2 linked regions of the Elephas maximus indicus genome follow. The protein of the gene in region 1 purifies or fractionates together with the protein of each later gene. This does not show direct contact. Links are inferred from orthologs where the notes say so. Each region holds a gene or a part of one and is shown in the gene's direction. Other genes may lie near its edges.

Region 1 (7,338 bases):
ACTCTCCTCTTTCCTGCCTTAAGTAGATACTTATCGTTGGTGTTGCTGTTTGGGCTATCGTGATTAGCTCTTGAATAACAGCATCCAATTTCTCTTTAAGGAACTACCTCTCCCCGACAGTGTGCAGTCTTGCCAGTACTGTCAATCAGATCTTGCCCTCCCTCAGCTAAGACTCCACTTTCTCCTGGACTTTGAAAATTTAAGTATCCTAAGAGCAAAGAGTCCTTGGGTGGTACAAACAGTTAATATGCTAAGCTGCTAAGTGAAAGGCTGGTGTCCACCCAGAGGCACCTTGGAAGAAGGGCCAGAGATCTACGTCTGAAAAATCAGCCATTGAAAGTTCTGCGGAGCACAGTTCTACTCTGACACACATAGAGTTGCCATGGGTCAGAGCTGACTTGATGGCAACTGGTTAAGGTTACCAGTTACCATCGAGTCCGTTCCAAATCATGGCGGCCCCATGTAGATTTCCAGGCCTTTCTTCTGAGGTACCTCTAGGTGGGCTTGAACCTCCAAGCTTTCAACTTGGCCTTGTACTCAGGCCTTCTCATCAATCCATGAGTGACTTGGTTTTTATTTATTCTTCTAATAAATTCTTTTTTTTTTTTTAATTTATTTAATAAGCCATTGTTGGTTTCTAGTACTTGAGAGGAAAACAAGTAATACCTAATATACCACCTTCATGATCTCCTTGCATAAGAGTTCTCCCCATCCCAGACTCCTTTCCTACTCTACTTTCCACACTGGGAAGACATGTATAAGCACTATAGTCTTTAAATCAATGCTGTCAAAAAAGAAAAAAAAAGTGCAAGCCCCACATATAATTTTAAATTTTCTAGCAGCCTCATTAAAAATAAGTAAAAGAAACAGGTGAAATTCATTCTAATACTGTTTTATTTAAACCAATATATCTACTGCTATTCAACATATAATTGATATGAAAAAATATTAATGAGTTGACATTTTATTTTTCATTTTGTCTTTCAAATCTGGTATTTTACACTTTACACAAACAAAAACCCACTGTCTTCCAGTCAATTCCGACTCATAGTGACACTATACAGTACATCTCAGTTTGGACGCCAAATTTTCAAAGGTTAAAGTGAAAGAAAGTCCTTCCAAAACAATAAAGTTGTGTATAACAAAAAATATTTTATACTGTTTTTAAAAATATAAATTAACAAAAATTAAAAATTGAGTTCCTCAGTCCCATTTCAAGTGCTCAATATCCACACTTGGCTAGTGGCTACTGCACTGGGCAGCATAGGTTTAAATATGATCTGCTCCAAGGGTGAAGAGACTTGGGAAAACCTTTCCTTAATGGATTCGATAGATGGCAGGTATTGTTGGCTTTCACACTTCCAACAACTTCCATTATTAAAGGACTCAGAATTGTGTGAAGACCTATTAGAAATATTCTTTCCACCGAAACGATGTTTCCTCGGCTGTATAACTAATGCAGGTTAACACATTATTGAGTGTGAGACCTATCCTTTCTGTTCTACAATTCAGTAACAAAGAGAGATCAAGGAGTTATCTTCTCTGTCAGGGAATTTAAAGGCTATTACACTATTACTCTTAAGTCACTTCTTGTTTACTACATTTTGATGAGCGAAAAGAGACTTTGGGGCTTAGTTTTTAACATAAGCATTTTCACTGCCAAATAAAATGTATAAATTTGAATGGCAGGTTGAAGAGTTTGACCTCTATCCCCCAGGCAAAAATGAGCTATTATAAGTTCTGGAGCAGGTGAGTGATATGATAAAATCAATGTTTCAGAAAAATCAATCAGAATCCAATATGCAGGTAGACTGGTAACAACAGAGGTCCATAAGAGGGGTGTGGAGCTTCTGGCATCCTTCAAAGGTTCACACATGTTCTTCTGTTGGGAACACCATTTTCCTCTTTAGAAGCTGACAAGACATATGCTCATCCTTCAAGAACAAGTTCAGAGTCACCTTAGTTTCTTGGAGGCAGACTGCAGACTGAGTCACTTCTTCACTTCTGCTCCCATAGCACTTCTTTCAAAATCCTGAACAGAACCCACAAGGCCCTGCCTGATTCAACCTCAGCCTTTCTCTCTAGTCCCATGTCCTGTGGAGTTCCCTTTCTGTCTCTCCATCTCTCCACTCCAGACACTCTTCTCTATTCCATGGGCTGAATAAGTACCTCCTGGCCTCAGGGCAGGAGTCCCTGGGTGGCACAAACTATTAAGCAAGCTGTAGCCTGAAGGTTGGCCATTCAAATCCACAGAGGTGCCTCAGAAGACAGGCCCCGTGATCTGCTTCCAAAAGGTCACAGCCTTGAAAACCCTATGAGGCACAGTTCCACTCTGCAACATATAGGGTTGCCAACTCAAAGAAAGGCAACTGGTTGAATTCTGGTTTGTCCTCAGGGCCTTCTTATACACAATTATCTAGGATTGAAAGGTCTTTTCCCAGGCTAATTTCTCTCCTTTCAGATCTCAGCTTAAATACCACACCTTTAGGGGAGTCCTTCCCTTTCCCAGGCCAGAATGATTAGCTGCCCTTGCTATACCCTCACTGTACTCCAGACTTTTCTTATAAGGCTCTTATCACAACTGTAATCTACAGCTGTTGCTCCCACTAGATAAACTCCATGACAACAGGAACTGTCTTGTTCTCATTTCAGGGCCATTGCAGTTGCTAGTCGATCCTTTTAGAACACTCTATCTCCAACTCTTCATACATTAGGGTTTTTTTTTTTCCTCTCAACTGTCAAGCCTTAGCACTATCGTTTGACAAGGACCATCCCAGATCAGCTCATCTAAAGTAACCCTAAAAGTCACTCAATCATAGCACCCTATTCCATTGTACTCACCACTTATTTATGTCCAGAATGTCAGCTCCAGGAAAGACAGGTCATGTGCTTTTACTCACTATTGTACCTCACACATTAGCACGATGTCTGACACACAGTTATGAATGAATGTGGTTCGGTATCCACTTACCAAATCAGATTGCATTTATTTACTCCACTGAGGTAACCTGCAAGTCAGAGCCGTATTTTTATCAGCAACATTCAAAAAACTATTTAAATCTCAGCTCTAACACTTTATTAGCTGTGTGGCCTTGGGCAAGTCCCTTCACCTCTCTGGGTCTCAGGTTCCCTAACTATATCATGATGATAACAATATCTTCTTCAGAGTTCTTATTAGGATCCAATTAAAAAAAAAAAAAATTACACACGAGGTACCCAGCACAAGAGTATGGTATATAATGCACGTCGCTATGAGTCGGAATCGACTCGACGGCACTGGGTTTTTGTGGGTATTTGCTGAAATGCTATTAGGTTGGGTGATGTTTTCCAAAGTGTGGGACCTGCCAACAGTGTGAAAGATGCCTTTAGGTGGTACAAACAGCATAAATTAAGAGCATTATAACTGTTGTTAGGTGCCGAGTCGATTGTGACTCCTAGCTGCCCGATAGGGGTTCCTAGGCTGTACTCTTTACTGAAGCAGTTTGCCAGGCCTTTCTTCCACAGAGCAGCTGGGTGGGTTAGAATCTTAACACTTTGGTTAGCAAAGGTCAGCAGCCAAGAGCTTAACCTTTGCACTACTGGGCTCCTTCGCATTATAACTTTCCCTTTTCAACGTTCTTACAATTCTTTAGATGAAAACCAGGTCTTCTTGTGCTCCTGAGTCTAACATCTGTCATCTTCCCCATCTGTTGCTATCGCTCTTTAGCAAAGAGATCGTTTAGGGAGAACAACAGTTAATAAAGGAACCTAACATTGTTTTTCATCTTATTTGTTTGCATAGTGGTTAAGAGCCATTCTGGAGTCAGACTGCCTGGGTTTACACCCACCTCCCTCACTCAGTTACTTCAGACTACTTAATGAACCTCCTGACACCTCAGTTTACCCAACTGCAACAAGGGAATGATATCCACCTCACAGGGTTAGTTTAAACGTAAAATGAACTATTAGATGGAAAGTGGTCCAGAACACAGTAAGCCTAAGACCCCTGTTAAATAACAACGGTCCAGGACGTGGGGCAGGGAGGGGTCCCTGAGGCGGGCAGCCCTGAGACCCTGAGGAACGCACCCTTCACTCGCGTGTGGGGACCTCAGCTGCGGGCCAGGCTCTCTCTCGCGCTCGTCTGATTTCGTGCTCTTTGGGGTCTCCCCATGGCATTTAAGCTGCTCTCACCCTAGCGTCGGCGGGCAGCACGACGCTCCTTCAGCAGATGACCGTCCCACAAGGGACTGACGAAGACCCAGATTGCGCTGGAACTCGAGGGACGGGGCGGAGCCATGGGGGGGGGAACGCCGCGTTACGTAAGACGCCGCCACGCACGCAGCGCACGGAGCACGGCGCTGGGCTGGGGCAGCATGGCGGCCGAACACAAGACCAAGTTGTCCAAGAACCTGCTGCGCATGAAGGTGCGGGGACTTGGGGCGGGCTGGGGTAGGGGCACCTGGTCCTCCGGGCCTGGCCGGGGCCGAGGCGGTGTGCGTACGGGAGGTGCCGGCAAGGCCTTGGGGGACCCCCAGCTTTCGCGTTCATTCATTCACTTAGCACCAGCTCTGCGTTAGGCGCCGGGAATCAGATTGTGAATGAGGCCGACTCTTGAAACCCGCTGTCGGATACGGGAGACAGACGCTTAAACAAGGAGAATACAGCGTGCTAAGCGTAGGACGGTGGAAGTGTCCGAAGCCGGGGGAACTTACTTGGAATTCTCGCGGAAAGTGGCCCTTCAGTAGAGACTGAAGGGTAAGCAGAAGGTGGTGAGCATAGACCTGAGCTGAGGGAGAGGCGTGAAGGAGTGTTAGAAATCTGAGAGGCACGAAAAATAATCTTTTTCCTCCCTAGAAACCAAAGATAAATCAGTGATACAGCTGGAGGGAAAGTACCGAGCAGTGAGGCTGGGGGTGAAGGCAGCGTTAATAGCCATGGCACTTTAGTTGAGGTTAAGGATTTTTTTTTTTTTGCCTTAAGAGCAGTGGAAAGCTATTGAGCGCAGGGAACAGTATCATTGGCTGTGCTTTTTACTTTTAAAGGTTACTTTAACTGCCCTGTAGGGAATGCATTGGTGGAAGGAAGGCCTGACAGAAGACACAGTTGCAGTCTGGAAGACGAGTTAAAAGTTCTGATGGTCCAGGTGAGGGTTGATGGTTACCAGAATGAGTGCAGTGGTGGTGGGAATGGAAAGAATGTTAATAGTTGAGGTGAAAGTGAGTTATGTCACCCAGCTTTAAGCAAAATTGATTTTTAGAGTTGAGATTGAAGTCATCTTAACCCAAGAATTTCAAAATGGAAAAAATAACAAGGGTAGATAAAATGTGTACAGAAATCGAGATGGGCAAACAAAGAAGACTTAAAACATAAATAATAATAACGAGCATTTTTAGTCCTTACTATGTCCCAGGCAGTATCCTGAGTGCTTTTCGTATATTAACCCATTTAATCCTGACCATAACCCACTGAGGTGGTACAGTTGTCATTATTCCTCTTTTACAACTGAGGCAAATAAAACAGAGAAGTAAGTAACTTGTCTAAATTTGCATCGCTAGTAAGTAGTGTACACAGGACACAAACTCAGGCAGTCTGCCTCCAGAACCCGTTTAAATCACTATACTTCTTGTCACTGAACACTCATTATTGTTAGATGGGTACCTGGCTGTCTCAAATGGTTAAGTATTCAGCTACTAACTGGAAGGTTGGCAGTTCGAACCCACCCAGAGGCACTTGAGAAGACAAGCCTGGAGATCTGCTTTCAAAAGGTCACAGTCTTGAAAACCCTATGGAGCAGTTTCTACTCTGCACACATGGGGTCACCACGAGTTGGAATTGGCTCAGTGGGAACTAACAGCAACAAGATTTTGGAGAAGTTGAATGTGTTGAGAGCAGAAATTTGAAAACATTTTAGAAGTTGTTTTGGCTCTTAGAATAGGCCGGATGAATATGTACTAGGTGTTTAGGGCTCAGATCAGAGATATGACTGTGGAGTTAGGAAGGAAGAAATTAATTTTAAGAAAAAATTATCCACTCCCACCCAAATGGCTGGGATTGGAGACTTAATTGAACATTGAAAGCAAAGGAAAAGGGAGAAAGTTACCCAGGTTTTTCAATTTGGGTTAGCAATTTTGATTGTTGACAAGAAGGAACTTACCCACGGGATTGCAAGAGAAACTTTACGTAGAGTGTCCTGTGAAAATAAGTGGAGCAGCTACAGACTCAGGATCCAAAGTTCAGCCAAAGCTAAGTATGGAGCATAGATGAGAGGATTGAAGAGTTAATCCTGACTCATTTGTTGTTAGATGTACTTGAACTCCTCTGATTTGGTCAGCATTTGGGGACTGGAGGTGTAAAAGTGGAGTGGGGCGTCATACCTCCTCATCTAACTTCACAAGGGGGGAGGAGAGTCATCAGCATTAATAGCCCAAGGCTGATTGCTATGAGCTGGAGGTCAGATATACCACCCTTCAACCTTTTTACCAATTCTGACACCAGCCATCCCTCCCGCAATACTCTGTGCTTTTTTGCTGGGTTTGATAATTCATTGCAATGGCCACACACAGCTCACAGACCATATTCACAGTTATGGGGTTCATTAGGGAAGTAACAGGTTACAAATCAGGATCAGGAACAACTCAGGATACAGTTCTTTGGTCAGGACAGCTTTTCAGCTGTGCCCACAGGACGGCCTCTCCCTCAGCCCCTGGGCCTCTCCTCTGCCCTTCTCCAACAAGCTCTGCTGATAGGTTCCCAGAGGCACCCCACTCCGCCAGAAAATCTTCTGCCTGAAGGCATTCATCTCTCACTCCATAGGTTGGTGAACCTAGCTTCTCTGACCCCACTCCGCCAGGTAACCTCCTGCCAGAAGGCACTCAGCCTTCTCACTCCATGGGTCAGGACACCCACTGTAGCTGCCTTATTCTGTGGGCTTCAGCCGACCGCTCCGTCTCCTGGGTCTTCTGCCGCCATTTCTCTGCAACAGCTTCTCACCATGTCACGCTGTCTCTGGTGGAACAGCTCTCTTTCTCTCTCTCTTGCTTTCTCTCTCCTGGGTATAGGACAGTATCAGTGCAGAGACCCCAGGTCCAAAGGACATGCTCCCAGCTCTTCTTCTTGGTGTTAGTGATATTCCCTCTCTGTTCTGGGATTGGCTCTCTTATAAGCCTAGCGTGATTCCAAAACTGACCAATCCCTTTGTTACATCTTATTTGTATGGTCCTGAGAGCTCAGCTGCTAACCTAAAGGTTGGCAGCTCAAATCTACCAGCCACTTGTTGGAAACCCTATGGGGTAGTTTTACTCTGTCCTGTAGGGTCACTATGAGTTGGAACCAACTCAACAGCGCCTAACAACAACTCCC
Region 2 (6,822 bases), about 7.9 Mb from region 1:
TATTTCATGGGTGAGAAGGGCTCCTGCTTCACAAGGTCTTGGTCATCCCCGAGCCTGAGTTAGGGTGCAGCTTTCCTGCTGGCCAGGTATGTGAGGAAGGTGCTTCTTTCTGGGGCATCAGGCTGCAGGCACTTGCTCCCTGAAGGAAGAGAAACTTCTGGTGTCCTGGGGTGTGTTGCTTCATAGCCTACCATCGGGGCTTGCCACAGTTGTTTACCGATCAAATGGTGAAGCAGAAAGTTACCTGCCCCAGATTTTGAAATTCTGATTTCTCTCTCCCAGGCCCTCAGGAAAGCAGAGAGCTTGAAGAAATCTCTGTCTGTCATGGAGGCCAAAGTGAAGGCCCAGACCGCGCCAAACAAGGATGTGCAGCGGGAAATAGCTGACCTTGGTGAGGTACAGACAGCCTCCATCCCTTCCTCCCAGGGCCTGATTTATTCATCAGGTACAGGACACTGCTCAGTGCTGGGTCCTGTGCCTGATGAATAAAACATTATCCCTAGTCTTTTTTTTTTTTTTTTTTTTATTGTGCTTTAAGTGAAAGTTTATAAACCAAGTCACTCTCTCATACGAAAACTTATATATATACCTTACGATATACTCCTAGTTGCTCTCTCTCTAATGAGACAGCATATTCCTTCCCTCCACTCTCTTATTTTCATTTCCATTCAGCCAGCTTCTCCCCTCACTATGCCTATTCTTGAAGAACTCACTGGAACTAGCCAGGTCGTGGTTCTCAGTGGAATGGGGCCTCAGGCTGACGTCTGCTGATGTCTCCATGGATCCTGGCCTGTGGACCCCTGGTTCCTGCCTGCTGCTTCCATTGCTGATGGCAGGAGAGCTCATTCCAAGCATTGTGTCAAGGGAGTTGGGGAAGGCCTCTGTATCCAAGCCTGCCTGGTGTTTTATATTAATATCTGGTGGCTCCCCCGAGCCTGTCACAGGCTCTGTGTTCATGGCCTGGTGAAGGCCAGGTCTCACAGGGATCCTAGTCTCCATACTGTTCCTCTCTCTCCAGCCCTACTTGTTACAACTGCTATGGTTGCTCACATACTGACTGTTCTTGAGGCCAGTAGGCACTTGTTTTTTGTTGTGTTTTCTTCCTTCTCTCTGCTTCATGGACACTCAACGGGGAGGACTTTGTATTCAAAACAGATGTGATAGGGTGGGGCTGAGGCCTCACTTCCTAGCTCCCAGTCTGCATCCACATGGTCTTCCTGTTGTGGTTCCAGGCCCTAGCCACTGCTGTCATCCCTCAGTGGCAGAAGGATGAACTTCGAGAGCACCTTAAATCCCTGAAGAAGATAATGGATGACCTTGACCGTGCTAGCAAAGCCGATGTCCAGAAGCGAGTGAGTCCTGGCAGTGCTGGTGGCCAGAAGGGAGCAGAGAGGATTTACTCAGCAAAGGCTGGGAGAGCTGCTTTCTGGGTTTGGGAGGCTGGGTCTTTGATCTGAAGTTTTCCTGGACTTCTTCCTTTCAGGTGTTGGAGAAGACCAAGCAGCTCATCGACAGCCACCCCAACCAGCCCCTCGTTATCCTGGAGATGGAGAGCGGTGCCTCAGCCAAGGCAACCAGGGGCCCAGGGTCTAGTGCAGCTCTGTGTCTGTCCCATTGCTTGTTCCCTTCTCTGGCCTCAGCCCTCTGGTGGCTGAAGTATGGGAGGTGTGGCTTTGAGAGCCCACTGTCTCAATGAAGGTTAGCCTGAGCTATGAGAGCTGGTGGCTGAGCTGTGGCTCCCAGCAGAAAAAAGGAGCAGCTTCCCGGAAGGCAAACCTCAGGACTAGAGGCCATGGAGGCCAGGCCCTGTACCAGGCTCCTCCTACAGCTTCCCGGGGCCACGCCTACTCTTGGAACGTGGGTGGGGGCGGTGCTCCGAGGCCTGAGACCGCAAACCTGTCACATGTGAGGAAAGTTGCCTAGACCCCAGTGCCATGATCTGACACCAGATTTTCCCCACAGGCCCTGAATGAAGCTTTGAAACTTTTCAAGACACATTCCCCTCAGACGGCCGCCATGCTCTTCACTGTGGACAATGAGGCTGGCAAGATCACATGCCTGTGTCAGGTGCCTCAGGTAGGAACCCCCTGTGCTTGCTCCAGACCCCACAAGCTGCTGTCACTGTGGGAAGTGTTGTCTCCAGCTTTGTAGAGGGAAGTCAGTTCTCACAGTTGGATGCCAAGGCCCACGGAAGTTTGTGCAGTGTCCATTAGGAACAGCTGTTCTCCTACCCTCCTCTTTGGTCACTTTTGCCAGTACCCCTTACCCTCAGGCCTTCTCTTTGGTAAAAAATAATAAGTTTCATTGTACTGGCCAATACTTAGCTTTGACTTTGAGGTGCCCTTATCCTGGCAGGGACCATCGACTGCCCCCGTGCACTTGCTCTAGAATCTGTCTCTGCCTCTGGCAGCAGCCCGTGTCCTCACACAGGACAGGAATGGTCCCTCGTCGTTTCTCCTTCCCGCCCCTTTTCATTCCCCCCTCAATCCCATCCTGTCTTACTCCCACTTTTCCTTCCTGTCTTCCAGAATGCTGCCAACCGGGGCCTGAAAGCCAGTGAGTGGGTGCAGCAGGTGTCAGGCCTGATGGATGGCAAAGGTGGTGGCAAAGATGTGTCTGCCCAGGCCACGGGCAAGAATGTGGGCTGCCTGCAGGAGGCACTGCAGCTGGCCACATCCTTTGCCCAGCTTCACCTGGGAGATGTGAAGAACTGAGGGGAAGGGTGGCTTCCACTGGGAAGCATCTGCTCCTTACCAGGAAGTGACTGCCCCTCACCAGGATGCATCAGTCCAGATGGGAGCTCTTCATCCGCCACAGGGACATTCAAATCCTGGACCTTTAAGCAGCCCCATCTGTCCTCGTAGCCCAGCAATCATTGGAACATAGTCAGGGCACTGTCCTTCCCTGTGGCTCCGTGCCCACTTTACATTTCCACCCCAAGCCCTATAGTCAGTGCCATCCGTCCAGAACCATTACCCCAGAATTGCTATTTATCATTGTCCTGCACCTGTCTATACTTCTGAGGTATATTCCTCCACAGACCTGAGGCTTTTGGGTGTGCAGGTAGGAATTACTTTTGCTGCAAAGAATAAAAGGACCATGTGCAATACTTGATGATACCTTGTGATCGATCCCCCGCTTCCCACCCAGGTGTCCCATGATTCACAGCCCGTGGCTCCCTGGGTGTCTGCAGCATAAATGCAGTGGCTGCAGCTGGCTTCTGGCTGAAAGGACCAGTCCTCCTCAAGTCCAACCCCAGGCCCCCTGAATTGTGCGAATGGCTCCTGGGATTGCCTCAAGAGATCTATGGAGGTGGAGGCAGGCAGAATAGGTGGGTGAGATGGAGAGGCAGCTGTTGGGAGTGTGAGATGAAGTGTGAGGTTAGAGGCATGCTCCAGTATAGGAGGTATTTAGGGTGCAGCCATTGCCTCCTCCTCCAGTGGCTGCCCCGCCATTCCTACTTCCTTGACCTAAAGATGGTTAGAATACCCTACCCTGGCCCTGAGCCCAGTTCACCCAATTGAAGACAGCTAGGTTTGACAGTAGTGTGAGGGGAGGTAAAAGGTACTGCTTGCTGCGGCAGCTGTGACTGATTCGATGCCCTTGGGTACAGCATGCTGGCTCTGTGGCCCGTGCTGGCAGAGGGGAGGAAGTAGGGAAAGCAGGTCTATGCTAGGAGAAGCAGCAGAGGCCAGCTGTCAGGCTGTCAGGCCTGGGGCTGAGGGGCTGTCCTTGCTTGGGTGAGAGAAGCAGCCAGAGGGAGGGTGCTGAGGCCCTGGATATAACCAGCACAGCCAGGTGAAGAGTTAGGGATACAAAGACAATTACACAGTCCAGGGATGAGGGGACACGTAATACCATTCATTCATTCTACAGAGTGTTTACACCAGCCGGGCATGGAGTGTACACGAGTCAACAGAAAAAAGGCCCCTGCCCTCCGAAAGCAGTAGGGAACACAGGCATGAAAAAGTTAGGAAAATAGCTGCAACGGGTTTGGTTGTTTTGTTTTTTTGTCACAAGTGAAAGGAAAATACGATCTGGGTTTGCCCTGGCTTGGCAGGTTGGGGTCATCCCAGCCGGCCCACGTCCCGCTTGCTGCGGACCAGGGCTCTGTAGGGCCCGCAGTTCTCCCTCCGGGGCGGCAGGGGGCGGTGCAGCCCCACCGCTATCCCGACAGACCCCGCGCGGGCGCGCATCTTAAGCGGGCGGAAGCGTCCCCGCGTGAGCAGAATCGACGGGCGGAAGCGACTCGCTCGTCTGGTGCAGCCATGCCGGGGGACCACCGCCGCATCCGCGGGCCCGAGGAGTCGCAGCCACCGCAGCTGTACGCGGCCGACGAGGACGAGGCGCCTGCTGCCCGCGATCCGACGCGTTTGCGGCCCGTGTACGCGCGCGCGGGGCTGCTGAGCCAGGCTAAGGGCTCGGCCTACCTGGAGGCGGGCGGCACCAAGGTGCTGTGCTCCGTGTCGGGCCCCCGTCAGGCCGAGAGTAGCGAGCGCGGCGGCGGTCCAGCCGGGGCGGGCGGCGAAGCCCCGGCCGCACTGCGCGGGCGCCTGCTCTGCGACTTCCGCCGCGCGCCCTTCGCGGGCCGCCGGCGCCGCGCACCTCCCGGGGGCGGCGAGGAGCGCGAACTGGCGCTGGCGCTGCAAGAGGCGCTTGAGCCAGCCGTGCGCCTGGGCCGCTACCCGCGCGCGCAGCTCGAGGTGTCGGCGCTGCTGCTCGAGGACGGTGGCTCGGCGCTGGCTGCCGCGCTCACGGCCGCCGCGCTCGCGCTGGCCGACGCCGGCGTCGAGATGTACGACCTGGTGGTGGGTTGTGCCCTGAGCCGCGCTCCGGGCCCCGCGCCCGCCTGGCTCCTGGACCCCACGCGGCTCGAGGAGGAGCGTGCCGCCGCCGGCCTCACTGTGGCTCTCATGCCGGTGCTCAACCAGGTGGCCGGGCTGCTGGGCAGCGGGGAGGGCTGTCCAACTGAGAGCTGGGCCGAGGCTGTGCGCCTGGGCCTCGAGGGCTGCCAGCGCCTCTACCCCGTGCTGCAGCAGTGCCTGGTGCGGGCCGCCCGCCGGAGGGACGCAGCCACCTTGTCCTGAGCCAGAAGGCTGAGCAAAGACGACTCCGAAGACCGCCGCCATCCCGGAAAGGACCCTTGCCTCCGGTCTCCACATTGCGCCCAGCTGGGAAATGGAGATGATCAGAGAGAAGGGGAGTGGGGCACAGTTTGGCAACAGCCGCCTCCTCGCCACACAGAACTGATGCCCTAGACAGCTGTTTCAAAAAACCTGTCCAGAAGAGAAACTTTTCTGCTTGAGCTGGCTCCCAGGTCCAGCCCAGTTGAAGAAACCTGTGAATTCAGCCTGACTCCAAATTGGAAAGGACTTGAGCTGGATTGATCTGTAAAACGAGACCTAGAGCTGTTATCTTGTAAGGATGGACTCTCTATAATTGGGCTGCTTTTGAAAGGATGGACATATGAACTAAAAACAAAAACTTTTTATATCTGAGCAACGTTTTCTGTTGTGGCTCTTCTTGGTATAGGATTTAAAAGAGCAAGGATCTTCTGAGGTGGGTAGTGTCTTGGACCCCTGGTGCCAAGGGCTCTGGGGATCACTGCCTTAGATGTGTCCTTTGTTAGACCAACATGAGAAGAGACAGGGTGAAATATGTGAAGGAGTTGATGTGAAAAAATCTGCTTTTGAGGAGGGGAAGCTGTCTCCCCACCCTCAAGTACCAGAGTCAGGGCAGCTGCTGAGATGAAACAGGAGTCAGGGGAGCTGTGTGGTCCCAGAAGCATTCTAGGTGCACCCCCTATTCCCTGATTGATTTTTGTGAACTGGGCATAGCGACAGCTCAGGGTGAGGTAGCTGGAAAGGGTGGAGGCCAGAGCCCTCCTTCCACAGCCTCTCCTGCTAATGGGCCCCGAGCTAGCTTCATGATCTGCTGCCTGTTGTCTAGGCTTGGGAGAGAGCAGGTGAACTGCCAGGAATAAGCCTCTGGATCCTGGGAAACAGGACAGTGCTTGGTTGTTCCGCTGGCTGACTGTGAAGGTACGGTCTTCTGCCCTGTGTGGCACCTGAGCCCTGTGGGTTCATGCTCAGTTCTGGATTGGAGGAAGCCTGGTGAGACAGCCCTTCAGAACCACAGCAGCCTGGTCCTCTTTCTGCACCTGGCTTGCTGTGAGCCTCCAAACTTGTGTCTCAAGGGCCTGCTCTGCTTATCTAGGAAGGGCTGGCCCTGGGGGAGCCCAAGACCCAGAATGAGGCACTGGGACCACATCAGGAACTCCTGACCAGAAAAAATATTTTATTTTTCCCCTTCTGACATAATACATTTTTCCAGAGCAGATCTGAAATACATAGTATCACACCAGCGAGAAACAGGACATAAAAATACACTTGATTCTGAAGGATGGCTATGTAGAGGGGATGGGGAGTCTGGAACCAAAGGGGTTATGTGAGGAACTCCCCAGGATATACAGTTGCTTCAGACTGGGAGGGGGCCTGTAGGAACACAGTTCTGTTTCCTGTGCTCCACTGTGGCTGGAGAAGGTGGCCTGGGCCGGCTGCTGGGCAGCAGGAGGGGAAAAGAGCAGCTGAAGCCGTATCTGTATTCAGAGGGGGCTGATGATGCTCCCTGGGCTCTCAGGGGACCCTGTCCCTCTGTCCCTTTCGAGTTGGCCTTGGCTTCTTGAGGATGGGGACTGGTGCTGGGAGTCCAGGCCACCTCCCCCTCCAGCCCTGCTAGTCCCAGGACTACCTGGACACAGGACATCCACCATTATTGGGACGCTGGTTTGGGCAAGCTGTGCCTCCACTTCTGTTGCCCTAG

Evidence for each region.
Region 2: the proteins of MPHOSPH6 (region 1) and EXOSC6 purify together in Homo sapiens (affinity purification with mass spectrometry; 3 studies listed by BioGRID and IntAct, with this or other methods). This does not show direct contact. The link is inferred for Elephas maximus indicus from reciprocal best matches to the Homo sapiens genes MPHOSPH6 and EXOSC6.

Annotation. Positions count from the first base shown.
Region 1 is NC_064839.1:48,078,842-48,086,179, reverse strand, and holds the start of MPHOSPH6 (M-phase phosphoprotein 6), read left to right. Parts: upstream 1-4,329; 5' UTR 4,330-4,352; coding exon 4,353-4,403; intron 4,404-4,487; exon of another isoform or gene 4,488-4,734; intron 4,735-5,042; exon of another isoform or gene 5,043-5,113; coding exon of another isoform or gene 5,114-5,122; intron 5,123-7,338. UniProt on the Homo sapiens protein: RNA-binding protein that associates with the RNA exosome complex. Involved in the 3'-processing of the 7S pre-RNA to the mature 5.8S rRNA and play a role in recruiting the RNA exosome complex to pre-rRNA; this function may include C1D.
Region 2 is NC_064839.1:40,209,144-40,215,965, forward strand, and holds EXOSC6 (exosome complex component MTR3), read left to right. Parts: upstream 1-4,239; 5' UTR 4,240-4,268; coding exon 4,269-5,087; 3' UTR 5,088-6,291; downstream 6,292-6,822. Other genes in the region: AARS1 (alanine--tRNA ligase, cytoplasmic), read left to right, coding at 283-396, 1,233-1,352, 1,484-1,570, 1,963-2,076, 2,529-2,714. UniProt on the Homo sapiens protein: Non-catalytic component of the RNA exosome complex which has 3'->5' exoribonuclease activity and participates in a multitude of cellular RNA processing and degradation events.